4 linked regions of the Pelodiscus sinensis genome follow. The main gene of each other region encodes a partner of the protein of the gene in region 3 in a complex. Links are inferred from orthologs where the notes say so. Each region holds a gene or a part of one and is shown on either strand. Other genes may lie near its edges.

The links.
Region 1: the proteins of UBE2I (region 3) and E3 SUMO-protein ligase RanBP2 are in contact, whole or in part, in a crystal structure (PDB 3UIO), measured with the Homo sapiens proteins. The link is inferred for Pelodiscus sinensis from reciprocal best matches to the Homo sapiens genes UBE2I and RANBP2. Residues at the interface, in NP_003336.1 of Homo sapiens: Ile4, Ser7, Arg8, Gln11, Glu12, Arg13, Lys14, Ala15, Arg17, Lys18, Phe22, Gly23, Val25, Val27, Lys30, Met36, Glu42, Cys43, Ala44, Pro46, Gly47, Lys48, Lys49, Trp53, Glu54, Gly55, Gly56, Leu57, Lys59, Pro69; in NP_006258.3 of Homo sapiens: Leu2651, Lys2652, Leu2653, Pro2654, Phe2657, Phe2658, Tyr2660, Tyr2666, Val2667, Glu2669, Glu2671, Glu2672, Asp2673, Asp2674, Glu2675, Asp2676, Phe2677, Ala2680, Val2681, Leu2684, Gly2686, Lys2687, Leu2688, Tyr2689, Leu2690.
Region 2: the proteins of UBE2I (region 3) and RWDD3 are in contact, whole or in part, in a crystal structure (PDB 4Y1L), measured with the Homo sapiens proteins. The link is inferred for Pelodiscus sinensis from reciprocal best matches to the Homo sapiens genes UBE2I and RWDD3. Residues at the interface, in NP_003336.1 of Homo sapiens: Leu6, Ser7, Ala10, Gln11, Arg13, Lys14, Arg17, Lys30, Gly34, Thr35, Met36, Leu38; in NP_056300.3 of Homo sapiens: Glu3, Pro4, Glu7, Ser10, Val11, Ala13, Ala14, Ile15, Cys17, Pro98, His101, Glu102, Leu105.
Region 4: the proteins of UBE2I (region 3) and XPO1 are in contact, whole or in part, in a cryo-EM structure (PDB 9B62), measured with the Homo sapiens proteins. The link is inferred for Pelodiscus sinensis from reciprocal best matches to the Homo sapiens genes UBE2I and XPO1. Residues at the interface, in NP_003336.1 of Homo sapiens: Ile125, Gln126, Tyr134, Cys138, Gln139, Asn140, Val142; in NP_003391.1 of Homo sapiens: Gln207, Gln210, Glu243, Thr244, Lys245, Tyr279, Gln282.

What each region holds. Positions count from the first base shown.
Region 1 is NC_134711.1:235,356,318-235,363,660, reverse strand, and holds the start of E3 SUMO-protein ligase RanBP2, read right to left. Parts: upstream 3,018-7,343; 5' UTR 2,951-3,017; coding exon 2,879-2,950; intron 1-2,878. UniProt on the Homo sapiens protein: E3 SUMO-protein ligase which facilitates SUMO1 and SUMO2 conjugation by UBE2I. Involved in transport factor (Ran-GTP, karyopherin)-mediated protein import via the F-G repeat-containing domain which acts as a docking site for substrates.
Region 2 is NC_134719.1:36,236,201-36,243,182, reverse strand, and holds the start of RWDD3 (RWD domain-containing protein 3), read right to left. Parts: upstream 3,013-6,982; 5' UTR 2,937-3,012; coding exon 2,852-2,936; intron 1-2,851. UniProt on the Homo sapiens protein: Enhancer of SUMO conjugation.
Region 3 is NC_134726.1:41,417,430-41,425,100, reverse strand, and holds the start of UBE2I (SUMO-conjugating enzyme UBC9), read right to left. Parts: upstream 3,018-7,671; 5' UTR 2,907-3,017; intron 2,700-2,906; exon of another isoform or gene 2,516-2,699; intron 1-2,515. UniProt on the Homo sapiens protein: Accepts the ubiquitin-like proteins SUMO1, SUMO2, SUMO3, SUMO4 and SUMO1P1/SUMO5 from the UBLE1A-UBLE1B E1 complex and catalyzes their covalent attachment to other proteins with the help of an E3 ligase such as RANBP2, CBX4 and ZNF451.
Region 4 is NC_134713.1:180,629,459-180,637,232, forward strand, and holds the start of XPO1 (exportin-1), read right to left. Parts: upstream 3,011-7,774; 5' UTR 2,877-3,010; intron 2,615-2,876; exon of another isoform or gene 1,840-2,614; intron 1-1,839. UniProt on the Homo sapiens protein: Mediates the nuclear export of cellular proteins (cargos) bearing a leucine-rich nuclear export signal (NES) and of RNAs.

The sequences.
Region 1 (7,343 bases), on a different chromosome or scaffold from region 3:
AGCTGATCCCAGGCTACACAGAGTACTGCTGCTTTGAAATGCAGTGTGCAGCCTGGGGAAACCCCAGCTATCACTTTGAAGTACCCCCTTTTTATTCCTCCCCCTTGCTGCCTTTTTCTGATAGAGGCAGTGGGGGGAGAGGGATTAATCAACTAGCCTGTTGATTACCCGATAAGTATTTGCTTGTCCACTAGTTCTTCACATCCCCAGCAAAGACTGATAAAATAAACCAAATGTTTATTGACACAGCTAAGTTTCAATTTGTATATTTTGCTATGAACTTAATTTTACTTGGCTCTAGCAAAAACAAAGTAACCATACAACCCTTTTTATCTTTAAGACACCATAGGAGAATGGTTCAGAACATAACAGCCAAAAATCAAATGGTGGGCCACAGTCACAGTGGAAAAAAAAAAAAAAAAATCTACAAAAGATGTCAATCTTTGTTTAAAAGGATATTTAATCCAAAATCTTAACCCTTTTTGCAATTTGGGACTTCAGTTTGTCCTTGGATTAACTGTGTCTTTGTTTGACGAAGCTCCTTGGAGCATAGACCAAACAACGTATGTGCTCAAATGATAAAGTATCTACATGGTGAGGAAACTATAGTAACTGCTCTATCAAGGAAGTCAGACATAGAAATAGATGTTTTAGATATTATGAAGATTTGGACTTTTACATGCAAATTTGGTCCAGCCATCAGCTTACTGACAAGCCTCTAGCAAGGGCACCAACTGTAAAGGGCCAAGTACTTTTCCTTCCAAGAACATATTTAACTATGCTAACAAAACCAATCAAAGATCCTATCATATTTCTAGTAGAAGTCCAAGTAACTGAAATACTGACATGAGCTCTGGAATATTTACATTTTAACACCGCCTCTTCATAAAACAATTGTATTATGTATCACTTCCTATGTTCACAACTAGAAAATACCCGTGTCAGCTACAGCAATTGCCCATGAGAGTGCACGACAACAGACAACTAAAAATATGTTGAGTCTCTTCAATGCAATTTAAGAACTGGTAACAAGAAAAAAAAAAAAAAAAAAAAGGTACATTATCAGCCAGAACTCTGCTAGCCACCAACGAACAACCTGAGGAAAGCTGGAGAACCACTGAATTAACAAGTCATCACCCATCATCATGGTTTGGCTTCGCGAACGAAGATCTAGGAAGGAAATCCATGTAACTCCTCAGCTTTCTCAAATCATCCAGAAAAGAGGAAGTTTAGCCTCCCAGTGTTACAGCACAAAGATATTTTTGAACAAAAGCATGCATTTTTTATCCTTTAATAAGACATATTTAGTTTTTAATCTTTCATAAATATTATATTATTGAACAAATGTGTCTGGAAATTTGTAAAGGTCTGGTGAGTCACATTTCTTTACAATTTCAAAAGGAGAGTTAATTGTTGTCCCTTCTTAATTTTACAATACAGGACAAAAAGAATTTTATGTAACTATTTTCCATTACTTATTTTGTGAACTTGACTGTACAGTTAGATGCATTACCCATGTAAAAATCAGCATCCCCTGTTTGTGTGGGTCTTCCACACAGTGAACAGGATAAAACATTTTAAAAAGTTTTGTTCATGGTAACAAAAAAAACCTCATAGGTGTAACTGTTAAATTTGGTAGATTTGTTGATTGGACAGCTGACAATCTAGAGAGTGTCTTCTGAGATTTGCAGAGAAATAGTTGGTAACATAAAACTAGTAATAATTTTCATTGCTGAACTGCATTCCAGGATACCTTCTTAGCTAACTCCATGTAAACAGTTGTGGTACTTGCCATGCATACCCATCAACAAGCAAGGAAGTAACTCAGCCACTTTTTATGAAAACATGATTGAAGTTTCATGAAAAAAAGAATGAGTCCACAAATTACTATCCCATAAATTAGTAACTCTGAAAACTAGATATCATGCTCTTTTTAAAAAAAGCAATACCAATGTTTATCACACACATCAATTATGCACCATTTCTTTGTTGACTTAAATCCTTTGCTTAGCAGAAGTATCAGGCCAAACTTTCCTGCACTATCCCACTGCTGTTCCTCAACTCATCATGACCATGGGGGAAGGTGTAAAGGAGGGATGGCTTGCCTGGACTTGGCCCCCAGGATCAGGACTCCCCCCCCCCCAGCATTAGGGAGCCCAGACGGACACTCCAGCCACCCCCCAACCTTCCTGCTGGCCCACAGCACATAAAACCTACTAGCCTGGGCTCCACTAGCTACGGTGTGGGAGGGGAATGCAGGGAGTGTCTTTCTCCTTCTCAACTGGGGGGAGGAGGTAGGGTTTCACATCAGTGATGATTGGGGTTTTTTCCCTTCACTTGCGCATGGCCCCTGACTGATTTTCCTGTGGGTCAGCAGCCCCGGACCCAAAAAAGGTTCCCCACCTCTGAAGGCTGAAAGAAACGCCCCCAGCCAACGACAGCTCAAGTTCCTTCCCGTTAGTACAAGACTCAGGAACCCCGGCTGCTACAAGCGCCTCCCAGCCTTGGCTCCAGCCCCGCCCCCAGGCAAACCTCCGGCGCAGGACAGCTCTGGCCGCGGATCCCTCCGCCCCCCGGCCAGGTCAGGGCCCGCCCGGGTTAGCAGCCGGCCCCGCCCACGCGGAACGAGGCCAGCCCGGCTGCCGGGGCAGGGACGTTGAACGCCTGCGGGCCCGTGACTCGCCTCCCCGGAGCGGGCGGGAAGCTGCTCTGCGGGGCCCCGCGGGGAAGGGGCCAGGACACGCGGCCGCTCCGGCCGAGACCAGCCCCCGCTCGCCAACGGGCACCAGCACGCGCCCCCCGCGCTCTGGGCGAACAAACCGCCGCGCCCGCGGCCCCGCAGGCGGGCGGAGACTGGGGAGCGGGCGGCCCCACTCACCTCTCTGGGGGAGGGGGCGGCGGCCTGCACGGAGGCGATGTACCGCTCCACCTCGGCCTTGCTGCGCCTCATGGCCGCGGCGCGCGCCGACTAAGCGAAACCGAAACGCCGCCTCGAGCCCCGCCACCCCGGCTCGCGCCGCGCCGGGCAGACGGGAGACTGAGCTTGGCTGGTGGGGGGGGGTGGGGAGGAAAGTCTAGGTACGTTCGCGCGCCTCCTCAAGGTGCGTAACGCGGCGGTGCGTGTGCGTCGTCCTCCCTTGCGGAAGCGGAAATGACGTATGTCGGCTGAGCTGCCCTCCCCAACTCGGCAGTCTGATTCAGTCCCTTTTTCCGCCTGGGGTCGGGGCTTCCCGGCGCGTTCCTTGCTCCGTCGCAGCCCCTGGGCCGCGAGCCAATCACAACTAGCGGAGGGCGGGCCGGCTGCGCGCGCACGGAAGGACAACCTGGCACCTCAGGTTGCGGGGCAGGTCCGCGCGGGGCGCCCGTGGCCGCTGAGGGCAGGACGCGGGGCGGGAACGGGGCTCGCTGCCGCAAGGCGGGTGCGGGCGGGGAAACGTTGAGCATTGAGGACAGTCGGACTGTGCAGGGGGGGCGTGGCGGCTCCATGGGAGGTTTGTAAAACCAGGTGGACAGACGCCCGGGCAGGGAGGCTGTAGGGCGGGGGTCGTGCACATAACACCCCTCTTCCCCGCCCAGCGCTGCGCCTTTCTGTCACCGCCCTACCTTCGCCCCCATTACACTCAATACATGAACTCAGAGGTGAGGGCTCCCAAACACTGCTGCCAGCCTCTCCTCTACCCTCCCTCCTGGCCAGACACCCTGCCCCAAGTCCCCTCCTGCATCCTCCCTTCTGGCCGGAGACCCTACCCCCAGCCTGTCTGTGCACCCTACTTCCCACCCTCTCCCCCTTCTGCACCCTAAGAGTACAGGGTAGCGCTCATGAACTTTGTGTCTCAAAAGCATGTTTGTGCAGATCAGCTTTCCTAATCATTTTTTATTTCTGTGATGGCATGTGTTGTATTACACTGATCATCTTCAGTTAATACTCTTCTGATATTAGAATTTATATCTAGTAGGATTAAGCCTCAGAACAAGCCTACTGATGGACTACCTGGAACCATTATTATGTGTTTATCATGAATTGAAGCTACTTCAGAAACTGTGTCACAATGTTTCATTCTGTATAGCACCCTGATCAGCAAAACTGTGCTTTTAATTCTTCCTCAACTACCGAGTATGTCCAGGGTAGGAATGTAAAATCCTGCTTAATCAGTTTAACCAGTTAAATGTTAACAGGATCCTGAGGGCAGGAGTAAATAAAACAAGATGGAACTTAAAGGAAAGGGGCATTCTTCAGCAGCCAGTGACTGACAGGTCTGGTGCTGTCACTAAGCAACCCACATGCAACCCATTGTAATTGATCGGTAGATCTTAGCAGGTTAAAAACTGACTAGAACTAAATTGCAAGTAAGAGTAAGTTATGTACATATAACAGTTACACAGCACTGCTGCCACACAAGTGTCCTTAGACTTTTTTCCTGATAGAACTCATTAAGTGTATGGCTTTATCATATTTTTCAATGTTCATTGCTTTGCATTTGTCCTCAGTGAAATTCACATGGGATCGTGCTAGCAATTCACTAGCTTTATTTGGGCTCTCTGAAGTTCCTTGGTCTCTTCTAGTGTTTGTTATAACAAGTAAGGAAGATAAACTTATTCTGCATAATTGTAATGTATTAAACACGACCTATGTACTAATGTGAAAATGTGTGATGAGTGGTTGTCTGTGTTGTATGGGGGTAGAGGGAGTGTGACAGAGGTAAATTTCAAAACTGGGTTATTTTAAATGTTTTTGTCTAGGAAAAGTTAGCAGGTATTTTATTCTGAACATTTCCTTTACAATTCAGTTATCCACTGAATTGTATCGACACATTTAAAGCCTAAATTAAAGTAGGATCTGTGTTGAGCGAAAAGTACAGTAAGGGAAATACACCCTAAACTATGGAGTCACTTCTGACAGTTCCATAATACAACAGAAACTGGACTGTATTCTGTGTAAAGAGAACAAATACAGGGTCCCTCACCACCAAACATCCCTTTAAGAACAAGTCAAACAGGTTATAATTGTGTAGTCTTTATTGATCACAGTGGGAAAGCTTAGCTTTTAAACCAAGAGATATATTTTCTTAAAAGATATGAAATGAAACTGTAGTTTGTAAAGCATAACCTATACAATCTATGTAGGCTGCTATATTAAATGAAAAAAAATGTTTTATTAATTTGCCATACTACTGCACCTTTATAAAGAAAGGGGGAAAAGCCCTAGATTCTTTATGACTATTAATGAATAATATAAGACTTAGAAGCATGTTATAGTGAATTCTCATCAATTTGGACCCAGTCCTTCAAGGCTGACATTTTAGGTGCTCAATTGTAGGTGCTCAGCACCTTCTAGCATAGACCATTTATACACACACTCACTGATGTATGACGTGAGAGTGAATTATTGTAGGTACTATTAAAAAATTAATTCAGCCAAGAAACAACAATGTATTTTTTAAAATTCAAGTGTTCTCAATATTTAAAGAAAACAAACGTCATACATCCTATAGAAGTGAAGTAGTTAAAGCATATTATGTTTTATAATACCTGGTATACATTTTCTGCATAAGAATATAAAATAAAAATAAAACTGTATATATATTTAATGCATCCTTTTTTGAATACTGTTGTGAAAGGTACAGAAAAATAAGGCACAAAATGTAAGTAAAATACAAATACACTCATATTACTGGATTATTTTAAATGGAACATAACAAAATTCCGGTAGTTCTGAATATGGATATTTCTTGCAACAGGAATATATTTTCTATATTTCCATTACAACTTTAAAATCTAATATACAAAAATTAATTATGTAATATTTATCTATTAAAGGCACTACACTTTTGCAGTGGTTGCACTTAGAAGTTTGACTTCAGAGGCATTTAAAATAAGGCTTCATAATGATTACTTGGATCTGAATCTAAAAATGAATAGTTCCATAAAAAGTGATGCTACATCATTTAAAGATTACATGCTGAATTCTATGCACAAGTATTACCCTTAACTTCAATGGCACTCTTTGTGTACAGAAAGCAAGGTTTATTTGTGAAGTCATTGCAGGAAATGCACAAGCAGATCTTAGGTCTCCACAGAATCTCACTGAAATATGTGGCTATAAAGCAGATTCAACTGCAGGACCAGAGCCGTAAAAGAGTTTACAATGAATTTGTATTTGCAGTTTAATATGCAAGTACAATATACAGATCAACAGATATGTATAAATGTATATATCCAATACAGAACTGAAGATATATTTTGCTTTTGTTAGTTACAAGTTATATAAAATGTAGAGAGGGTTTTTAGATGCATGTTTTGAGAGAGAAAAGAGGAAAGTACTTTAGTATGAAGCTAGTCATGCATCAAGGAAACTAATTTTCTTTGCTTGTGTATCGCAGATTGCAGCCTCAAAGAAAAATAAAATGAAAGTCAAGTAATATCTGTAATATTTTCTAATTTTTTTCCAGGAACAGGAGATTAGAAGGAGGCTTTACTTCCTCCCTAAAGTTTCAGCTAGTTTCTTCAATCTTTTCTTCAACTCCAGAGGAAACTTCTCATAGCATTTCTTGCAGACAGGCTTCATATCAAATTCAACAAATTTGTTCCTAAAAATGATAAAGGAAATATATTTAGTGGAAGAGATTTCAAAGAGTATGTGTAGCATACCATATTGACGTGGTATAAGCAGCAAAATGATGCTTTTTCAGTATGTTTGCTGAATATTAAAAAAAGCTCTAAGCTGATAAATGATATAGCAAATCAATAAATGTAGATGTATCCCTGAATCTATTTTTTAATGATACATACAACTATATTTGTTAGCAGTATCCAACTTTGTAATTGGGTGCCATCATGCAGGAAGTAAAACAAATTCAGAAGACTTCTGATTTTTTTTAAAACCGTGACAAGTTAACAGTACAGATGAATTTGCTTAAGCTGAGATTTGGGTTTTGAAAAACAGAGGACCAGTCACTGCACATAAAGTTAATATTTATGTGAAAGAGACATGAAAGTAAAAGGCTGAAGTGAAGGAAACAACCGTACAGGAAAACAAAAAGAGAACTTCTGACTACTGAGGAAAATTTTGTTTTATGCAATACTGTATATTGTGCAACCACTGAATTGTAAACCTAACATGAAAGATACAGACTACATTTTCAGATGTTTATGGAGACCCAGTGTTATGGACCTAGAAATAGATGTCCAATGTGGGTATAAGCAAGGGCAGCTGTGCAAAAGATGCTATGAATTTCCATACTACGTTCAAGCAGTGGATATATAGTTAAGTATCCTGTCTAACAGCTGCAAGTATGTGCTGTTTCTGTGGCAAGAGGAAGAATCCCTATAGAAGGCAATATGGA
Region 2 (6,982 bases), on a different chromosome or scaffold from region 3:
TGGACCATCTTCTGTTGGTGGAAGAAATAAGCATTCAAGCTACATAGAGCTCTTCTTATAGAAACTTGTACCAAGATAACAAAGGCATGAATTAAAAATGATTAAGTTATTTCAGTCCCAGTATGCTTGTAGATACACCCTAAGACTTGATTATGGTCTGGGGATAAAGCTATAGTCTTTTTTAAACTGGGTCCTGCAACTCTGATTGTAACTTTAGTGTAGGCTCCTTTAGATGACTCCAACAGCATAAAGGGATCTTCACTTGGGTAAAAATGGCCCCCTAAGAATATCCTATACGAAGGGGCCACCTTGGCTGGTTTAACAGAACTAATGTAATGGTTCTACATTCACTCTGCTCCCAGCCTCCAACATATTAGGGGGCCTGACCCGAATGCCTCACACCATGACTATCCTCTGCTTCCCCAGAACCCATAGGCTGCTCTGGGAAGCAGAGCATAAATGACAGAAGTCCTGAGAATGGTATAAATTACACTAAACAGGCCTCATACAGTTCAAGAATACAGGGAACACAACAAGGATGTGAATGACTAGTCAACTATCTGATAAGCTAGTCAACTAGTTGATTCCCCACCCACACACACTTGCTGCCTCTATCAGAAAGAGGCAGCAAGGGGGGGCAAAGAGCAATGGTGCTTCAAAACGGTTGCACCATGTGGAGCCTAGGGTCAGCTGGGGACTCCCCCGCTTACCCAGGGCTCCATGCAGTGCTGCAGCTTTGAAATACCGCAGGGAGCATGGGCGAGTGGAGGACTACTTGAGACCCCCGCTGGCCCTGTGCTCCTCACTGCGCTTTTGCCTTTGAAGTGTAGCAACAACCACAGAGCTGTTACTACACTTCAAAGGCAAAGGTACCCTTATCGACTAATCAAATGGTTGATGTAAATTGCATCAACTATTTGATTAGCCAATTAATCAAAATTTTGCATCTCTAGAACACAAACATGCAGAAAGCCACATTTGATTCCTGCACCAAGCGCCGGACAGGAGTGACTGAGATTCAGGCTGCAGGTGTGTACTGACAACTACTGCCTACTAAACATTATACAACCCTATGTGGCCTCCAAGCCTTTCTACTTATCGGAAGCATAACTGCTTATCAGGTTAGTTACATTTTTCTACTGGCAGGTAACAACTTCCGATTGTGTCATTCACCTAGTATTATTTGCTGAATGCAGTGTCAATGCCGGGAACTGGAGGAGATAGCAAATTGTGACAGGAGAGTGATACCCATTAGGATTTACCCAGTGCCAAAGATGCAAACTGTGAAGATACATGGTGGGAAACTGACAGGTAAGAGACATCTTTGCTACCACTAATAAAAGGTAAGAGATTAAAGGAGTTACTTACTATCACAATTTTTGTGATGGGAAAGCATGCAAAAATAGATAATGCTGTCAGAATTTGCTATAGGATGCAAATTCTGATTGTGAAGCATTTTTATAATGCTACTGACCAGAGAGGCTAAGAGTTTCTCCAGCAAATTGGAAGCATATTTAATGTGCATTACCACTGTTTAGTAGTCTAAGAGCAAACTTCAGTAAAGTACCACAGAGGAGTTTAAGTTCTTCAAGAGGCGGTGGGCAGCAGAAAAGAATGCTTAGCTCAGCTCACAGGCAGATGCTGGGAGGCAGGCAAGATGCAAAGGTAGTGCTTACTGTGAGCATACATTATTGAAAAAGTTTTTAATTTTCATAGATATTAGAGACCTCTTAGATCATCCAGTCTATTGCCCTGACAGCACAGATCTGCAGAGAAAATTCATTCAATATTAAACGAATACTACATCCAATAAAAAAAACCAACAATGTTGGGAAAATCATTAAGGGATATAGAACAGCATCCTGTTGAGAAGAGATTAAAAAGATTGGGATTGTTCAGCCTAGAAGACACAGCAAAAAGAGGGTATGATAGAGGTTTATAAACTCATGAATGGTATGGATTAAGTAAATAAGGAAGTGTTTCATGCTGTCACAAAGCAGGAATCAGGGATCATTCAATTAAATTAATAGGCAGCAGGTTTAAATCATTCAGAAGTATGTCTTTACACAACACAGTCAAGCTGTGGAATTAATTTCTAAGGGATAAAGGCAAAACATAACTGAGTTTTTAAAAAGAAATAAAAAAGTTACCAGAGGACAGATGTGCTACTAGTCTATTTGTTGGTTTTTTAAGTTTTTCCAACAATGGCAGTTAGCCAACACTGCCAAGAACACAACCCAAGCTCTGGGTGTCCTGACCCTCTACTTGCCAGAAGATGGATCACTTTGCAACTATTCCGTTCTTTTTTTTTTTTTTCAGTTCATTGAAGCACCTGGTGCCAGCCACAGGCAGACGTCAGGATACTGGGGTAGAGGGCCCACAGGTCCGACCCAGTATGGCTGACTTTGTAAACCACAGAACAGCAGGGAGTTAAAAGGAACAAGGTGCCAATTTTCCAGGGAAGAAAACGCCCAAGTTGTCCGGCAATGCATCCACAAGACCAGCATGGGACCCGTGAATTCAGGGCACTTGACAAGTCTCCCTAGGCCCGGGGGGGAAAGGAGGCGGCGCCGCGCCAAATACGGACTAGATCAGACACTCGCCGCCTTTGCCCCATGCACCTTCACTGACCCGCTCACCACCCGCCGCGGCAACTCATGGAAACCTCCGCAGACCGGTCCAAGCGCTCACGCGCCAGGTGTGCCGGGGGGGGGGCGGACTCAGCCGAGGAAGCGCTGCCTAGTGGGCAGGGGCTACTGGCTGCTCGGCCTTGGGCCACGGGGCATCTCTGCAGGGAGGCGATCGGAGATAAGCGCGGGCGGGCGGCGGCTACAGCCACCGCGACAGTCACCTGAGGCCGCCAGCACCGCGCACTCGTCCGGCTGGCAGTAAATAGCCCTCAGGGCCGAGAGCTCTTCCAGGGCCTCCGCCGACATGGCGCGCGCCGGCCGCTACCGAGCGCTGCGCCGCCGGGCACAGGCCGCTTCGCTTCCCCTTCCGCCCTGGCTCCCAGCGCCCGCGGGGGGCTTCCAAGGCAACAGGCTCCCTGGCCGCCCTGCCCCCTCCTTGGCCCTTCTTTGGGACAAGCCCTGTGGGTTAACCCCACTCTGGGCACCGTGAGCCACAGGCCTTGGCCGGCTCCCCTCGCAGCTGAGCTGCTCCGTGAATCCGGCAGCCAGCAGCACCCAACAGTTGCCTGTAGCAGCGCCACTCCCGGAGTCAGGGTGCGTTTACACTGCATGGCTTATCTCGAAATAAGCTACACACAGGCTGGCTGCGTCTAGATTGGCATGATTTTCTGGAAATGCTTTTAACGGAAAAGTTTTCCGTTAAAAGCATTTTCGGAAAAGAACATCTAGATTGGCACGGACGCTTTTCTGCAAAAGCACTTTTTGCAGAAAAGCATCCGTGCCAATCTAGACGCACTGTTCCGCAAAAAAGCCCCGATCGCCATTTTTGCGATCGGGGCTTTTTTTGCGGAAAACAAATCTGAGCTGGCCACACAGGCCCTTTTACGTAAAAGCTTTGCGCAAAAGGGAATTTTGCCTGAATGGGAGCAGAATAGTATTTCAGCAAGAAGCACTGATTTCTTACAGTAGAAAGTCAGTGCTTTTGTGGAAATTCAAGCAGCTAGTGTAGACAGCTGGCAAGTTTTTCAGGAAAAGCAGCTGTTTTTCCAGAAAAACTGGTCAGTCTAGACACAGTAGCCTTTTTTCAAAAAAACTTCACTTGCATCTAGACTACAGCCGCGTTCTTTCAAAATTAAATCCTCATTTCACGAGGAAGAATGCCTTTTTTTGAAAGTGTTCTTTCGAAAAAAGGCGTTCTTGAATGCAAACAGGGCTTTTTCGATACAGAGCATCCAGACTGCCTGGGTGCTCTCTTTTGAAAAAGCGGCTCACTTTTTCGAAAGAGGCTTGCAGTCTAGATGTAGCCATATTGAGCTATGTCAATTCTGTAACTTATTTCAAAATAAGGAGCATCTATACAGCACTTATTTCAAAATAGAGCACTCTTCCTCCCACTTTCTTTACTCCTTGTAGAGCTGGCAGATACTTTCACAAAAAAAATCCCTAACATGGCAGGAAAAATATTGATTGAGCAAAGCAAAAAACGGGGAACCAAAGTTGCTAAGCAAAAAAGAAAAAAAAAAGAAAGGTCACTGAGCCTTTAAAAATCCCCTTGCTCCTCACTCCCCTGACCCCCACCAGATGCAGCAGAGGAAGAATGTCCCTGCCGGCCTTCCATAAAAAAAACCCCAAACAACAGAAAATACCGGACATATTTTCTGCTGTTGTTTTTTACTGGAGAGGGGCCACAAATACTGGTCTGTACAGGCAAAAACTGGACACCTAGCAACCCTAATTCCTTGTATAGGGAGGGTTACAAGAATCGGAGTAAGAAGGCCTCCAGCTTAACAGTATTTTGACACTATTTCAAAATAACTGCCTGCAATGTAGATGCAAACTACGTTATTTTGGAATAGTGCTAGTTATTTCGAAACAGTGTTCCAGTGTAAATGTACCATTAGTATCTAATGTTGGGTGAGTTGATTTTCTCCTTCAGCTGTTCCACATCCTTGGTGTTGGCCTTGGACAAACTCCTTTCAACCTTAACAGAAGCGGTGTCAGACAGTTAACAGAGCTAGCAAGACAGGCCTTGAAATGGATCACTTGGTACTAAGCACTAATAAAAATAGTCAAAGCAGGGGATTATAGTGTTATCCAGTTTCACAACCTATAGTTAAATTTCCAGTAGGGGGAATAATACAGGAGGCCCCCACCTTGTGACGCGATTGGTTCCAGGGCAAGCATTGCAAGTCGGGGGCGTCATAACTTGAACCTGTCCGAGACAGAACATCAACATTGGCTGCCCGTCGCAGGAGAGCCATAGCCTGTCATACATCTAAGGCTGGTATAGGGGGCTCTGTCTGTGAGGCGGAGCGCTTCCCATATAAGGGCATGTAAATTACTGATCTTCCCCTGCTTGCTCCACCCACTGCAGTGAAAGATCAGCCAATGGGCTGACTTGTGGTCAGGCCTGCTCACTCCACCCACTGCGGCAAAAACCAACCTATGGGGTGATAAGTCCATAGGCAATAAAACAGGCAGGCAAACCCCCTCTGACTGGGGATTGCATCGTGTCAACGCCTGGCCTGATCACCCAGTTGCCTTGCACCCCCCGCTCTTGAGTTTGTTTGAGCGTACTTCGAGTTGGTCGACCTGAGTGGAGACAGTTTGGGAGCATGTGGCTGGTACTCGTGTTCCTGCTGTCTTCAGTATCGGTATAACCCCTCTCCCCCACAATTATTCCTATCCCAATTGATTTTTGAGTTACCCCCGTTGCCTGTCTAGTAATAGTAGTTCAAGAGTTATTGTGTTAGTTCTTTTAATAGTGGTTGTTAAGGTCTTTAACTGTTCTTTGTGTAATATAGTGTAAATAGTTAGACTTATGAACAACACCAGTGTGAATTCGACTGTTTCTAACCCCTGGGCAGTTATTGAGAATTATTATGATTTAAAAAAGCCTCAGGGAATTGTTTTATATTGTTTGATGATTTGTTTGTTTTTAATTCTGATGATTGTCTGGCGACCGCGCATGTGACTAAGTTTACAGTCATTAGGCGCCAGAGTCCTCATCAAAATAAAATCAGTTTTTATTTTTTCAAACCCCCAGTCGTGGTCTCATTCTTTCCGGCATCCCTTCGAACCTCATGTATTGCGGGGACTGACAGAACCCACATTTACGATAGGTGCCATGTGCTGTCGTAAATGCAGGCCGAGAACGTAAGTTGGGGGGTTTCGGCCCCATCCACGCTTACAAAAATGGTTATAAGTGCGAGGGGAGCAGGGGGTCAGAACTTGGGCAGTCACAAGTCAGGGGCCTCCTGTACTGCAGGGCCCCTGGCACTTTTGCCTCATGGTACGTCTAGACTGCGGGGGTTTTTCCAGAGGTATCCTGAAAATACTCTGACGCTTCCAGAGAACATGTTTGCTCTTCCGCTTTTTTTTGCGGAAGAGCAGATGCGCTTTTTCAGAAGCCCTGTCTTCCTCATTCTACAAGGAAGAAGAGATCTTCTGAAAGAGGGGAGTTTTCTGAAATTTGGCCCAATTTTCAGAAATTTTCGGAAAAGTCACTTCTGAAAAAACAAAGCGGAAAAAGGTGTAGTATAGACATACCCTAAGAGAGCAAGTACATCCGGAATCCAAAACTGCTCTAACATCCGATGTGAAGCAGTCAACTAGTGTCATTGAATGCTTTTCTAATTGCCCCCACTATATAGGCCATACGCAGGAATTTCGGGGTGGGGTGGGGTAGGGTGTAAATGTGGACCACAAGGGTGTGAATGCACACACACACACCCTATGGTCCCCCAAGTAAGCGGGAAAATCAGCCTCAGCCTTCCGCTGCAGGCCAGAGCACAGGGAAGGGAGGCACGCTGCTCCTGCCTTTTCCTGGCCAGCCAGAGCCTGCTTATTTGGAGAACCATGGGAGAGTGCTTTCTTTGCACCCCTCTGCATACGGGCCTGCTAAATTTAGTGCTGCTGAATTATCTGAGCAGAGACCTTCTCTTTTCATAGAATTATCTCCTTATTTAAAATGTTGCCTTTAAATCAATATAGTGAAAGCATCAACAAAATACTAAGACCATTAATTCAAAATATTACTGGTTGTATCACATTGGCACCTAGTGAACCAAACCATCATTCTGTACTATAGATAGTAAAAGTCAGTACCTATCCAGAACTTTCAATCTAAACCAGTATTTCTTAAACTGTGTTCTACGGCGCACTGGTGTGCCACGGTGAACAACTGAATTCAAAATGGCCACCCTTAAAGGATGTTTTTAAGATCAAGGAACACCAAAGAATATTTTTTTTAATGAGGAACTCCAAGGCCCTCAATAACTCCCCTCCCCCCCCAACTCTTTTTCCTCCCGATTTTTTTGTTTGTTTGTTTGCTCAACAAAAAAGATCCTTGG
Region 3 (7,671 bases):
ATGATGGGGTAAAGCATTCATAAAATATATGCCTAAGAGAATGTTTCCATGTTGACTCTTTAAAATTCCAATAGCAGATTTAAATATTCCTCAACATTGTTCACAGCTTACGTACCCTAACCACCACCCCACGTGACGAGGAATCCTATGGCACCTTACAGACTAAGAGATTTATTGGAGCATAAGCTTTTGTGGGCAAAGACCCACTTCTTCAGATGCATCTCACATCATGGAAAACAGCTAAAGGAAAACAGCTAAATGTTTTGATACTTAATTGATTTTCAATGTTTACTTCATATATTGCTTTCCTCTTGGACAAGCATTTGTAAACAAAGAAAGTAAAATTGAAGATTTAAAATAAATTCAGTTTAAGTAATTTAAACTATAGGCAATAAAGGTTACAAATTTATAATGCAATTAAAATTGACTATTTCATTTTCATCTCTGCCTCTTTATTCTTCTGAAAATCTGAGTTACGAAAGAATGTAAAATTAACTGTAAAACACATTGAAATCCTCAGACAGAAAGTGCCAAAAAAGTATAAGGTATTATTTGCATCATAGGAAATTGTCGCAAGCAAATAGAGATCTAATTTTCCTTATTCTCTGGCATCTTCTCATTTTGATCTTAGCAACTTCCCTATGAAATACTCGAAGTTCAGAGTGCAAAAGTTTAAAAAAAAAAAATGAATAGGAAACATGCCATTTTCTACCTCAGGTTATTTAAAAATCTATTAAATCAAATGCGTGTTTGTGGCAGGCCTTTGGCAGCTACTATGATTTCTGGTGACTAACTGCTACATGGAATACCCCATGTTTCAATTACCTTAAAGATAAAAAAACAAAGTATTTAAAGCTTGCCCTCTCTTTTACACCCACTGACTGCAATTATGACAGAGCTACAGGACTATCCAAGAGCCACTTATTAACGCAGATCCCCCCCCCCTTATGACTGTGCAGTAGGAGAACAAGGCAGGCGACTGTCTAACCTCCAGTGAATGTCCCTCCATGAAAGGACCTACAAGCATTTATCACTCAGATTGCATCACTGTTGGTGTTCGACACAGAAGATTAACAGATTGAGCATTCTGATATACACTAAGGCACCAAGAGTCCCTCCAGCATCTCCTAATCTGACCTCCTTCCTGCTTTTTCACTCAACACTCCTAAAAATAAATCTAAGGGGTGTCACTCATTTCTCCTCTGCTTCATCTGCTTTCCCGAGTAATCTGTTCCATGTGTGTTTTCTTTACACTAGCAGTTTTACCTAAAATAACTGATTTTCCAGTTACAGTTACTAGCTTTTGAGTTTCTCACAATTCCATCTCACACTTTGCAAGTCTGGAGTCTTCTCTTTTCCCATGGGAAATAAATTCTGCTGAGTCTGATTTTTCTCTAAGCATGGTAAGGTTACTAGTGAAAGCAACTGAACTGTCTGTCATGAAGACTGCATAGGCCTTCAAAGGCCACTTAAAAACTTAAGAAAGGTCAGCCTACACATTCCATTCAGTTCTTTGCCACAGAGCACCAATCACTGCAATTATTTTTTGTTATGCTGATATTTGTCCACTAGGAATGGAATTGAGATATCCAAACATGTTTCAAGTAAGATATATAAAACAACACCCACAGGTAAGACCTGTCACTTACTACTTTGGTTGAATATAAACCCTAGGTCTGAAAGATGAATTGCTCAACATAGCCCATTACCCATTTCCCTGGCTACTCAGCTTATCTGGTGCCAATAGCTTGTTTGTCTCCCTGTGAGGCAATGTATTCAAAGCAGCATCTTTCCTGTGGCACAGTGATTAGACTTGCATACGATACTCTAAATGAGGGTTCATAGGAGCAGTTACAGGCAAAACAAAAGGGTGATCATCTTAGTTACCTTTAACAATTCTTACTTAGCCCACAGCACAATAGTAGTATTAAAGTGCTTAACACAGCAAGCCTTATACAACTACACATCCCTTTTAAGAAGCTAAGGATTCCGTCTGTGCTAAAACACATGGATGAATAATTTGTCCAAAGAGTGAAAAGCTTCTGCTTCTAGGAAGAGCGGACCCAGCCGAAAGAGGGGACCCAGCCAGGACAAGGCTGGGCGATAAAAGCAGGAGAGCAGAAAAGGGGGTGTCTGGCGTTGCCTACATAAAGCCGCCACGAGGGTTACCCGGTGACGAGCCTGCCACAAGCCGAGTGCCTCGCAGCCCAGCCTTCGGGCCGCGCTGACAACCGCCGCCAGCGCCGCGCTCCCTGCCCCGGGGCCCAACAGGGCCAGTCGCCGAGGCTGCCCACAGGCCGCGGGGAGCAGCCGCCGGGCACCACGGGGCACAGGCCGAGGCGGGGCCAGGTACGCGGCGCTCGGGCCCGGCTGCAGCCCCGCTCCCGCCTCCCCGCGCCGGACGAGGCCGCCGGGCCTAGCGAAGGCGGCTCGGGAGCAAGGGCCGGAGCCCGAACGCCCCCAGGGCCCGCTCCCGGGCCCGCCGCCCTCCGGCCCGCGCCCGGCCAGGCCTCACCGTGAGCGGCCGCAGCACCCGCGCGTGTCCCGGATTGAGGCGGCAGCGAGTGACCCGGATGTTCCCGACTCGGCTCCCCCCTTTGTCTCTGGTCCGGACTTTCCCTCCCTCCTTGGTCGGTGCGGAGCGCAGCAGCGTGGTATGTCCCTCAGTCCGACCCGTCTGTCCCTCTGCGCCGGCGCAGTATGACCCTCAAGCCGACCCGTCGAGGACAAAGGGCCTTTAGGTGGCCTGTACGGAGCCCGAGCGGCCCATGAGGGAGGCTTGCTGTGGCCTCCCTCCCGTCTCCCTCCATCCCTTTGTGCCTCGCCTCCCAGCTGCTCCTGCCGGGCCCACTCCCGCTCCCACGAGCCCCTGGGTGGATCGTTCCTACAGGCACTGAGTTAGTTACCTGCGCCTTTCTGCGGCAAAGACTGCGGCGGACTGGAAAGCGCGCGGGGCCTTCGGCAGCACCACGAAGGGGCGGGGCTCGGCGGGATAGGTCCCCTTGCCTGGCTCCCACGAGTGTCGTGTGCAGAGGCCGGTGGCGCCTGGATTCCTGTGACGTCACAAGGGGTGTTTGCTCTGCCCAGCGACTGGCGGGGGGTCCCCAGAACGTCTCGTGCGGGTCCACCCCGCCGCGTGTTCCCCACGTGGGCCGACCGGTGTGGGCTGGGTCTATTCCATAGTCCACGCTCACAGTCACAATCATTCCCCCTCCCCCCTCTGCTCACAATCACTCCCCCTGCTCACAATCATTCCCCCTCCCCCCTCTGCTCACAATCACTCCCCCTGCTCACAATCATTCCCCCTCCTCCCTCTGCTCACAATCACTCCCCCTGCTCACAATCACTCCCCCTCCCCCCTCTGCTCACAATCACTCCCCCTGCTGATAATCACCCCTGCTTACAGTCATTTCCCCTACTTACTCCCCTCTGCTCACAATCACTCCCTGCTTACACGCCCACCTCTGCTCACAATCACTCATGTTCACATACCCACCTCCCCCTCTGCTCACAATCAGTCCCCACTCACACGCCCATCTCTGCTCACAATCACTCATGTTCACACACCCACCTCCCCCTCTGCTCACAATCAGTCCCCGCTCACACGCCCACCTCCCCCCTCTGAGCTGTCTACACTGGCCCTTTTGTGCAAAAGCTTTGCGCAAAAGGAACTTTTGCCTAAACGGGAGCAGAATAGTATTTCCGCAAGAAGCACTGATTTCTTACAGTAGGAAGTCAGTGCTTTTGTGGAAATTCAAGCGGCCAGTGTAGACAGCTGGCAAGTTTTTCCGGAAAAGCAGCTGATTTTTCAGAAAAACTGGCCAGTCTAGACACAGCCCTCTAGAGATGGAGACTCCACTACTTCCCTAAATAACCCATTCCAGTGCTTCACTACAAAAGAGTGGCTGTTTCATGAGTGGGAGACTAGCAGGTTGAATGAAGAGGTGAGGGAGGGGAGATAGACAGCTAAAGGGCTTGACATGATGTCAATACTGAAGCTGAAGTAAGAAAGGATTAGTCTGTTGAAAAACGGAAAGGAAAGTGGATGGGAAAGAGCTAGGTGAGGGCAGGATGTCGATGGGAGGCATCACATGCAGTGTTGCTCGTTAAGGATAAAGAGGGAAAAGCAGGAGGAGAGAAGATGGAATCAGCAGGAATAGAAGACTAGAAGTGCAGTACTGTACCTACATCAGAGTCTGATTGGGAGAAGGGGAGTGAGTGAGCAAGAGAGGATTCCTTAGGGCAGTTGCAGAGGCTTCAGGTCTGAGTAGCAGATGATGATGCTGTGAGGGCAGAGACAGTGTCCAGCATGACCCTGAAGCATAGAAAAGTCAGTCGGGAGCAGGGGACACAGTACTGGGGAGGGGTGCTAGTGGGTTCTGGGGCAGGGAACAGGGTGCCACGTTCGTCTGGCCTGGGGCCAAAACACACTCCCCCCCCCTTTCCCCATGATGCAGGGAAACCCTGCGCACGCCTGCCCCGGGGACAACTCACACCTCCTGCGCCGGTGCAGGGAAATCACCGTGCTCCTCTTCCGGACCCAGGGCCCCTCCCACAGCGCGCCTGGCAAACCAGCCAGCGCACTTCCGGAAGTGGCACTAAGCTGCGGGACTTCCATCCACCCGCGGGAAGCCGGCACTACCTCCATTTTCGCTGGAGGTGAGTACTGGGGCTTCTCGGGGGGTGGGTGGAAAATGGGGGTGAGGCCCGGTTGCCTCACGATTGACTGGTTCAGGCCTTGCGATTGACCAATTGATGTGATCAACCTGTTGGTGACCACGGCATTAGGAGGAGCATTTCCAGCATATCTAGAGAAGTGATTATTCCCCTTTATTTGGCATTGGTGAGGCCACATCCGGAGTATTGTGTCCAGTTCTGCCCCCCCTTCCAACCTCACTATAGAAAGGATGTGGATGTACCAGAGAGGATCCTGTGGAGGCGGCTGGAACACATGGTCTACAAGGAGAGGCTGAGGGATTTGGGCTTATTTAGTCTGCAGAAGAGAAGAGTGAAGGGGGATTTGATAGTAATAGTGGGGTAGCCATGTTAGTCTGATCTTGCTAAAACAAAAGGAAAAACTATGTAGCACTTTAAAGACTAACAAGATGGTTTAATAGGTGATGAGCTTTCATGGGCCAGACCCACTTCCTCACATCATATTCTGGAAGAGAATTGGCATTGATAGCATAAGAACATAAGAACGGCCGTACTGGGTCAGACCAAAGGTCCATCTAGCCCAGTATCCTGCCTGCCAACAGTGGCCAGCACCAGGTACCCCAGAGAGGGTGGACCGAAGACAATGATCAAGCGATTTGTCTCCTGCCATCCCTCTCCAGCCTCTGACAGACAGAGGCCAAGGACACCATTTTATCCCCTGACTAATAGCCTTTTATGGACCTAACCTCCATGAAATTATCTAGCTTCTCTTTAAACTCTATTATAGTCCTAGCCTTCACAGTCTCCTCTGGCAAGGAGTTCCACAGGTTGACTACACGCTGTGTGAAGAAGAACTTTCTTTTATTAGTTTTAAACCTGCTCCCCATTAATTTCATTTGGTGTCCTCTAGTTCTTCTATTTAGGGAACTAATAAATAACTTTTCTTTATCGGCCCTCTCCACACCACTCATGATTTTACAGACTTCTATCATATCCCCCCTCAGTCTCCTCTTTTCTAAACTGAAAAGTCCCAGTCTCTTTAACCTCTCCTCATATGGGACCCGTTCCAAACCCCTAATCATTTTAGTTGCCCTTTTCTGAACCCTTTCCAAGGCCAAAATATCTTTTTTGAGGTGAGGAGACCACATCTGTACACAGTATTTAAGATGTGGGCGTACCATAGTTTTAGACAGGGGCAGTAAGACATTCTGGGTCTTATTTTCTATCCCTTTCCTAATAATTCCTAGCATCCTATTTGCCTTTTTGACCGCCGCTGCACACTGCGGGGAAGTTCTCAGATAACTGTCCACGATAACTCCAAGGTCTCTTTCCTGATTTGTCGTAGCCAAATTAGTTCCCATCATACTGTACATATAGTTGGGGTTATTTTTCCGGATGTGCATTACTTTACACTTATCCACATTAAATTTCATTTGCCGTTTTGTTGCCCAATCACTCAGTTTGGTGAGATCTTTTTGGAGTCCCTCACAGTCTGCTTCTGTCTTGACTATCCTAAACAGTTTGGTATCATCTGCAAACTTTACTACCCCAGGGTATGTCTACACTACAAAGTTAGTTCGAACTAACGGACATTAGTTCGAACTAACTTTAATAGGCGCTACACTAGCGCTCCGCTAGTTCGAATTTGAATCGAACTAGCGGAGCGCTTAGTTCGAACTAGGTAAACCTCATTTTACGAGGATTAAGCCTAGTTCGAACTAGCTAGTTCGAATTAAGGGGTGTGTAGCCCCTTAATTCGAACTAGTGGGAGGCTAGCCCTCCCCAGGTTTCCCTGGTGGCCACTCTGGCCAACACCAGGGAAACTCTATGCCCCCCTCCCGGCCCCGGACCCCTTAAAGGGGCACGGGCTGGCTACGGTGCCCGTGCCAGGTGCAAGCCTGCCAGCACCCAGCCAGCAGACCCTGTACCTGGCAAAACGCTAATTCGAACTAGTTTTTAGTTCTAGACGCGTTAGTTCGAATTAGCTTAGTTCGAATTAACTAATTCGAACTAAGTTAGTTCGAACTAGCGCTGTAGTGTAGACGTACCTTCACTGCTTTACTACCTCACCCTTTCTCCAGATCATTTATGAATAAGTTGAAAAGGATTGGTCCCAGGACTGACCCTTGGGGTACACCACTAGTTACCCCTCTCCAATCTGAAAATTTACCATTTATTCCTACCCTTTGTTTCCTGTCTTTTAACCAGTTCTCAATCCAAGAAAGGACCTTCCCTCTTATCCCATGGCCATGTAATTTACACAAGAGCCTTTGGGGAGGGACCTTGTCAAAGGCTTTCTGAAAATCCAAGTATACTATATCTACTGGATCCCCCTTGTCCGCATGTTTGTTAACCCCTTCAAAGAACTCTAACAGATTAGTAAAACAGGATTTCCCTTTACAGAAACCATGTTGACTTTTGTCCAACAAATTATGTTCTTCTACATGCTTCACAATTTTATTCTTTACTATTGTTTCTACTAATTTGCCCGGTACTGAAGTTAGACTTACCGGTCTGTAATTGCCAGGATCGCCTCTAGAGCCCTTTTTAAATATTGGTGTCACGTTGGCTACCTTCCAGTCATCAGGTACAGAAGCCGATTTAAAGGATAGGTTACAAACCACAGATTATAGCTCAGCAATTTCCCATTTGAGTTCTTTTAGAACCCTTGGATGAATGCCATCCGGTCCCGGAGATTTGTTAACATTAAGGCTACGTCTACACTGGCCCCTTTTCCGGAAGGGGCATGTAAATTTCACCAGTCGTCGTAGGGAAATCCGCGGGGGATTTAAATATCCCCCGCGGCATTTAAATAAAAATGTCCGCCGCTTTTTTCCGGCTTTTAAAAAAGCCGGAAAAGAGCGTCTACACTGGCCCCGATCCTCCGGAAAAGGGCACTTTTTCCGGAGGATCGGGGCCAGTGTAGACGCTCTTTTCCGGCTTTTTTAAAAGCCGGAAAAAAGCGGCGGACATTTTTATTTAAATGCCGCGGGGGATATTTAAATCCCCCGCGGA
Region 4 (7,774 bases), on a different chromosome or scaffold from region 3:
CTAAAAGTTATTAGCCGCATGAAAGCAGAAAGGAAACACTTCTAATAGAGTGCTTTGCCACTCCCAGCATTATCTCCAAAATGACTTACCTATTGGTGAATTGAAATATAAAAATGGCGGCTTTGTGGTCAATGCCAACTGCGATTAACTTGATTGCCTATTCCTAATAATGTGCCCAGATCAAGCCTATAGTATTGTATGTGATCTGCTAGACAGACACTCACCCCGATCCATACCTCAGCTTGCACCTAAAACTGCTTCCAACTGCTAGTGTATAAAACTGAAAAATGAAAACTAAATAGTATCACAATTAATAAATAAGGGAAGGATCTTACACTTGCCAAAACCCAGAAGAATGGAGACTTGTTTACAGAGCTACCTGAGGTTACAGTGGCCTTGTGCATGAAGTGCAAAAATGCTTATAACGAGCATACCGATTACCATTCCATAAACACATCAGAACAGCAATTTTAAAATGAGCTGTGCTCAGTGAATTAGAACATCCACACAACAAAGTAAAAAAAAAAAGCTTAAAAACATTCAAATTAAACTCTAGGTCAAATACAACTCAACAACTACTTCAGGCTGTGCGGGGGCAGCAGCAGCACGATTCATTTAAGTATAGAAGTAGCCACCCGAAACATACAGTTAACCCCGCCCAACTCAGCTAGTGAACAGCTCCACTTCTAACTACAATGGAAGTAAAAATCGGCATCCCACCACACTCTTTAAAGCTATCAGGATTATTTATATCAGGCAATTTAAAGTTTCCTTTTTTTCCTATTCCCACAGCCTAAGCACGATTAGACCTGCACAGCACATGCATTATACATCAATTTAGACATATAAAATTTAGTGGGCATTTATATTAAAGTTAATGCCGCAGTTCCACACACTAATGAAAGAGCTTGTTTCCTTTCCCCGTATGTGTGTGTATAGCAATAATAGGTAGCAGAACTTCAGCTACATTTCTTTCCTAAGCAGCAGACTTGTCACATTAAAGAATATATATCCAAATAAATGCAAATACATTCGAATTGTTATCAACAAGATATCTGATGTACACAAATACTGCATGTGAACATACAGATGCACACCTACTCTGTGTAAAGGCCTTAACTGACTTCCCTTGCAAACCAGTCAGAATACTGCAGTACACGGAACGTTATACTATTAAAAACACACAACTACGCGCCAATCAGTTTTTCTGACAGTCATTACTAAAGTATCTGTCGGACGGGAGGGAGAAAGAGATCCGGGTTTAGGAACAGAAGGAGGTTTGTTAGGTTTCTTTGCGGAGAGCAGTAGGGACACTGCAGCCCCTCCCTCCTCTCGGTCCCTGCGTTGTATACAGGGCCACCCCACGTGATCCAGGCGGACGTTTCAATACTGCTGCACAGACACACAAAAATATTTCTGGAAACTTCCACTCCTAATAATTTACAGATTATGCCCCTAATTTCTCGAGTTCCCAACACTGGCTCCAGCCCCACACTTCACATATAATCAAAAGCACAAAATGACCACCATCTACCCCACCCCCACAAGCCTTCACAGCAACCTCCCCACACCACGCTCCTTCTTTCCCCACACCCATAGCATCAGTGGTAGAATTTGCTCTCTAGTCAATTGCAAAGCCGACACGTCTGATGTTTGTAGCCCGAAGACCACGCGTCTCCCGCCCTAAGTCTTACACCCATTGTGCCTTGCCTACCCGCGACTTTCTGCCCTCCACACACCCACCCTCCTGCTGAGAATCCCTTTTAACCCTCCCACTTCCCCCCCCCAAATACATCCAACCCCGCACCCCAAGATTTTCACCCCATAAGAGTTACTTACCTAAATAGTTATTACAGCCTCGGCCTTTAAAAAATGCGGGCGGGGGGAGTGAAGTTTCCAACCACACCAAAAAAAAATTGAGGAGAAATCACACGCGCGCGCCCTCTCCCCGACTGAGCGTTTATTGGTGTCACCCTTCTCCCCCCCACCGCCTCCAAGCCAAGCGTGCACTGGGCTGCTTGTATGACTCGCTCAGCGCGGGCTGCTGCTAACCCCTGGCCAGGCTCACTCGCTCCCTGCTGCCCCTGGCTCCCCCTACAAGGACTCGGCCCCCAACTACCTGCTCCCGGGCCTAGGCCGCCCAGCGCAGGGGATGGAGCCCCTCCCTTCCCGGCGGCTTGGCTCTGGTTCCCCAGGCCCGGCTATCTGCTTTCCTGGGGCTCCTTGAGTCCCGAGCTTCCCAGCCCCGCTGCTTTGGTGGGCCCCGGGTCTGTCACTCCCCAGGCCCCGGGCTCCTCTGGCTGAGTCTCTGGTTGCCCGGGCCCCTGCTTCTCCCCTTGATCTGGCCGGGTCTCAGTACACCCCCATTCCCCCCCCGCTCGCACTAAACTTTGCCCCGGCGGGTGTGTCGGCGGCTCCCCCTGCGGGCTCCCCTGTGAGCAGGTCACACACACAGCGGCGGAGGCAGCAGCGGCGGCAGGGAGTGAGCGCAGCGTTTCTCCCCCTCCTAGTGCCACAGACTCGGAACCGGCTCAAACCGGTTCAGACTGGGAGATTCCATCTCGGTTTAGTTTTCAGCCCATGGCGCCGCGAAGCGTTTGGAAACCTCAGGCCTCCGCCCAGCTGCTGCTCCCATTGGCTCCGAACACAGCCGCTGCGCAGGCGGCCTCGCCTCTCATTGGACAAGAGGACCGTCCGTCTGTGCGCTGCCGAGAGGGGGGGGTGGGTAGGAGGCCCTGCCTCTTCTCTAGCAGCGATTTGCCCGCAGAGGGGGGAGGTGGCGGCGCGGCAGCCCTCGTTGACTGGCCGCGCTTAGCTGTCGCTCAAAAACGATGCCCGCCCACAACTCCCGACCCGCGGGCGCAGTTTTTACCCACCGATGATTGGCTGGGCGCTTGGAATGACGTAGGCGTTCGAGAGAAGCTTTTACGACGGTGCGTTGAGAAGGGCGCGCGGTTGCGTAGAGCGGGTAGTGAGGCCCCGAGAAAGCGCGGGGCGAGGGAGGGAGAAGGGGGGGGTCTTCTTGGCCTGCGACCGGCACGAGATTCCTAGGCGCGCGTAGGGCCCTGTCGCCGGATGGTGCCTATTAGGAGCAAGAGCTTCTGTCTTCGCGTTCGCTGGGAGCGAGCAGGGCTAGTGGGCGCGTCTGTGGCTGGCTCCAAGGGCAGCGGCGGAAGGGCCGGGCACCCCACTGTGTGTCTCAGAGGGAGCCCCTCCCCGCCCTTCTCCTCGCGTACGTCTACGGCCCCATCACCGTAGCGTGTCTCAGCCGTTTAGAGTCCGTTGACCCAGCAGCCCTTTGAGGCTGGGCGGTGCCGCCCCGTGCAGCGCAGGGCAGCGGCTACAGAGCCTCGCCCGCGGCCCACAGCGCAGGCAATCCATGGCCTCTTAGCGCTCGATTCTGAATGGGAGCGTTGGGACAGCCGTCTCCTGCTCTCTGGTGGCTGAAACTGGCCACGCGGGGAGTGCGACGCTCTTCAAGAAGCAGTTCGCTGACAAAGAGTCGGGAGGGAGGAGGCATTGAGGGGGAAACGCAGGCTAATTATAGAGTGACCATATGAGCCGCTGGGGCAGGGCAATCTTTTTTTTTTTTAATGCCCTGCCCCGACTTTTTCTGTAGATTTGTCCGTTTCCTCCTTTCCTGAGCGTCAGTGGACAAGCGCAAACTGGACAAAGGCACAGGTTTGCCAAAAATTCGGGCTGCGACCCCTAGCAGGACAGTGTTAGGTGGGAGGGAGAATGGGGTGGAGGAGCAAGTGGGGTTTGAATCCGGCCCCAAGTGGCTGAGAGTCTTGGGCTGGCTGAATGCACAGGGGATAGAGGAGGGGACTTGGGCTTGCCCCACATGCAGGTGGGGTGTGGGGGGTGGCCTGAAATCGGTTCCACACGCGCAAGGCATAGGGACTGAGGCCAATCCTGCACATTAGGGAAAGAGGCCTTGGGGCAGCTATGGGAAGGAACCTTGGCTCACACCTGTGACATGTAGGGATGTAAAATCCCATTTCATTGGCTAACCTGTTAAACTTTGTTTAACGTGTTAACTGATTAAAGGGGAGTGGGGCACTGCTCCAGCCTTGCTGGGCTGAAGTGGCCCTCCCTGCCTAGGCCTGGCCAGTTAAACTTTCATGTCCTTAATGCAGTGGCCATTTTCCCTTGGGGGGGGGGGGAGGGAATATGGTCACCTTATCTAATTAGGAACACTGAACCCCACATTCCTGATTTGCAGTAGCATATATGTGAATGTTTGTTTACAATTCATTTTAAGTAAGTATTTACATAAGATATACGGTTCCCAGAATCAATATGCCAGGTAGTAAAGGCTATTCAAATGCTGCTGAGGAAATACTGTAGGTAGGAGTTTGTGTTATGAAATATTATTAATTCTTAATGGGAGAAAGGAAGTTTGAATCTTTTAATGTGCTTTAAAAAGTATTTAATCTTCCTATAAAAGTATAAATTTTTACCACATGTATTCTAAAACAGTTTTATTTTTCAAGTGGTATTTGAATCACCATCACCATCACCACGATTTGAGCACCAAATAACTTCTTGTGCAAGCAACCTTAGCAACATAAAAGTGATGCCTTTCAGTTGTAACATACTTTGTCATTTTGGTGCACTTTATGAAAGGTAGAGCTATAGATGTGGATTTGATTCAGAGGAGTTGAAGATGCTGCTTAGAAAGTATATATCCAAATAAGAGTAAAAACTACACAAGTGTCTAAATACAAGTTGTATATATTTTCACAAGTAACTATTGATGATGGGATGGCTAACTTGAAACTCTGTAAAAGACATTTCACTGTTTGCCCTCATAAAATCAAGTTCCTTTAAGATGATTAAACTGATATCCCCAAATCACTAATTGCCTCTGAAAATGTAGGTCAATTAGTCTTTTAATGTACAAACAGCTGTGGCACATAATACTTCTGGTGACATGCATTAGGGAGGTGAAGGTTTAACTGGTTAACCCATAAGCCTCAACCTTAATGGATGAGATTTACCGCAGTTAAGGTAAGCTGGTGGGGGCTGGAGCAGCTCCAACCCCACAGAGAGCCCGCCGCAGGTAGAGACTCTGGCATCCTTGCTGGACCAGCCTCTGCCCTTGGTGAGCCTTGGTACCTTTGCAGACAGGAGCTGTTCCGATTAGGATGCTGGAGCAGTCACTGCCTGTGAGGTGCTCTGGCCTGCTGCAGTCGGGCTGCTCCAGCATCCCAGCCAGAGCAGTTCCATGGCAAGCTAGGTTGCCCTGCAGGCAGGGGCTCTTTTGACCAAGATGCCAAAGCGGCCCCTCCCTGTGGGGTACCATGGTCCACCGCAGGCAGTCTGCTGTGGTGGTGAAAGGGACTGCTAGAGCAGCTCCTGCTTTTGGTGGATGAAAGAAGGGGGGCAATATGTTTAACCAATTAGTCAATAAAATGAGAAGAACTCAACCAATGCTTATTGAAGTTCAGTACTTTCTATTCTGCTCTTGTTCTTTGTTTACTATGAAGCAAAATGTATGTTATACTCTTGCTAAATTCTTTAGAACTACTTAATCAAGATTCCTCACTTCACATGGAAAATACTTAAACATTAGTTCTATTAAAGGTGGCAGATGAAACATACATTGACACCTAAGACTATAACTGATATATGGTATCATGAGTAACTTAATTATCACATTATGAAAAACTTAAAAAACAACTAATAGTTTGGTAGCACTTTAAAGACTAACAAAACATGTAGATGGTATCATAAGCTTTCAAGGTGGGATAATTTTAAATACAAACACAAGATGACATTCCAAGGAAGAAAAATTATAAAAAGCAGCCTAAGAACATCAACAAAACCTGTTTTTACATGAAGTAACTGATTCCCTTTGTAAATACTGCACCCTGATGATTGTATCATTGAAGGTAACAGAGTAAAAGTTCTTTGAAGGGATTAGTGTGACACTTAACATCACTGCATAGAGAATTCTCTGGAGTTATGTACTACTGGCTAAAGTGTATCTGTAAGGAAACTTAATTTTGACTGCCAACTAGGGCTATTACTTACTGTTTAAAAAGTTAACTGGTTAAATGCTGTTTAACCAATTAATCCTCATGAGGCTCCCCCGCTCCTGGTGTGATGCGGTGGGCCCAACCAGACTGTAGCCAGCTCCACACTGCACCCAGTAAGCATTCTAGTAAAGCTCATGCTTACCCAGTAATTACCTTTATATCCCAACGTAGCTCTGTTTTCGTTCTTTCTAGAAAACATACTGAAAGTCTATTTAAAAAAAAAAAAAAACCACCTTTGTGACTTTTCCAGGTATAAAGGTCCATTAATTGTCTCCTGCTACGCAGGACTGTGACTTCTGGTAATGTGCAAGACCTACTGGATAGATTGTAGCAACAGGGTTCCCAAGCTGCAGTGGGATAATTAGGGATATGCATACAATCATTTTGGCATCAGCCCTTGTTACGGAACAGGTTATTTTTCCAGGGAAATGCAAGCACTGGTAGGTTGCTGGAGACACTTCAGTGATATCATTATTGGCTGGCCAGAAAAAGTGTATGATTTTTGCAACTTTAGGAACACATCTGTTCAGAAATCTGGAAGCAGGGATGTTCTTTCCCAGCCTCTGCATAGAAATGCCAGCAGTGACTGGGGTGATCCACAACTATCCCTTGGTCCCCTGGCTTATGAAACCTTGTGCTGGACACATCAACAGCTCCAAGAAAAGATCCACCTGCTCAGTGTAAGTGCAAAATGACAGATGCAGGTGAATGTTTTTATGGCAGATTGAAGGGACACTGGGACTGTTTACTCACAAGATTGGAGCTCAGTGAGAAAAATGTCCCGGGGTTATAGCTACCTGTTCTGAATAATATAGGTGGAAAAGTTGCCACTACAATGGAGAGCAGAGGTGGGTGTCTCACTATCTGAGGGCTAGTCTACACTAGAATCACTACAACAGTGCAGCTGAATTGAGGTAACAACTGCTATAGCATTGCTAGTTCAAATGCTAGTCTATGCCAGTGGAAGGGAGCTCCCTGTTAGCATAATTACTCCTCCTCCCCAATCCAGAGTAACTGTCAGCGGGAGAGCAATAGTGCTGTCCATTAGGTTGGTGTAATTTACTTGCTCAGAAGTAGCTTTTTCACACCTCTTGAGTGACTTAAGTTGTACCAGCACTATTGTGTACAATTCCTATGAACCATCAAATGTAAAGGCTTTAAAAGAGCTCAATGCAGAGCCATGAGTCTGAGGGAGGCCTTGAAAGAACACTTTAAAAATCAGCCACTCTGATGTGGTGTGGACTGTTCTCCACCTGGCCCTGATGTTATGGAGGCCATTAGGAACTGTAGGGTGCTTGATGTATGCTCATGACTATAACCATCTTAAGGCACCTATTAAATTTGTGATGCTTACTGTACATTTATAATTATTATATTGTGTCTGATTCTTTGAGTTCTGTTATTGTACATCGGGGTCAGCAGACTTTGGCACTTGGCCCTTCAGGGTAATCTGTTGGTTGACCAGGAGACATTTTGTTTACCATGACCGTTCGCAGGCATGGTTCCCTGCAGCTCCTGATGGCTGGAAAGGGAATGGTTAATCACCAGCCGAGGCAGACTATGCCTGTAGGGCTATGTCTACACTGGCATGATCTTGTGCAAAAACTCTTTAGCGCAAGAGTTCTTGCGTTAAAGTAGTTGTGCAAGAGAGCATCTACACTGGCATGTGCTTTTGCACAAGAGATGTGCTTTTGCGCAAGAGCATCCATGCCAATGTAAACGTTCTTTTG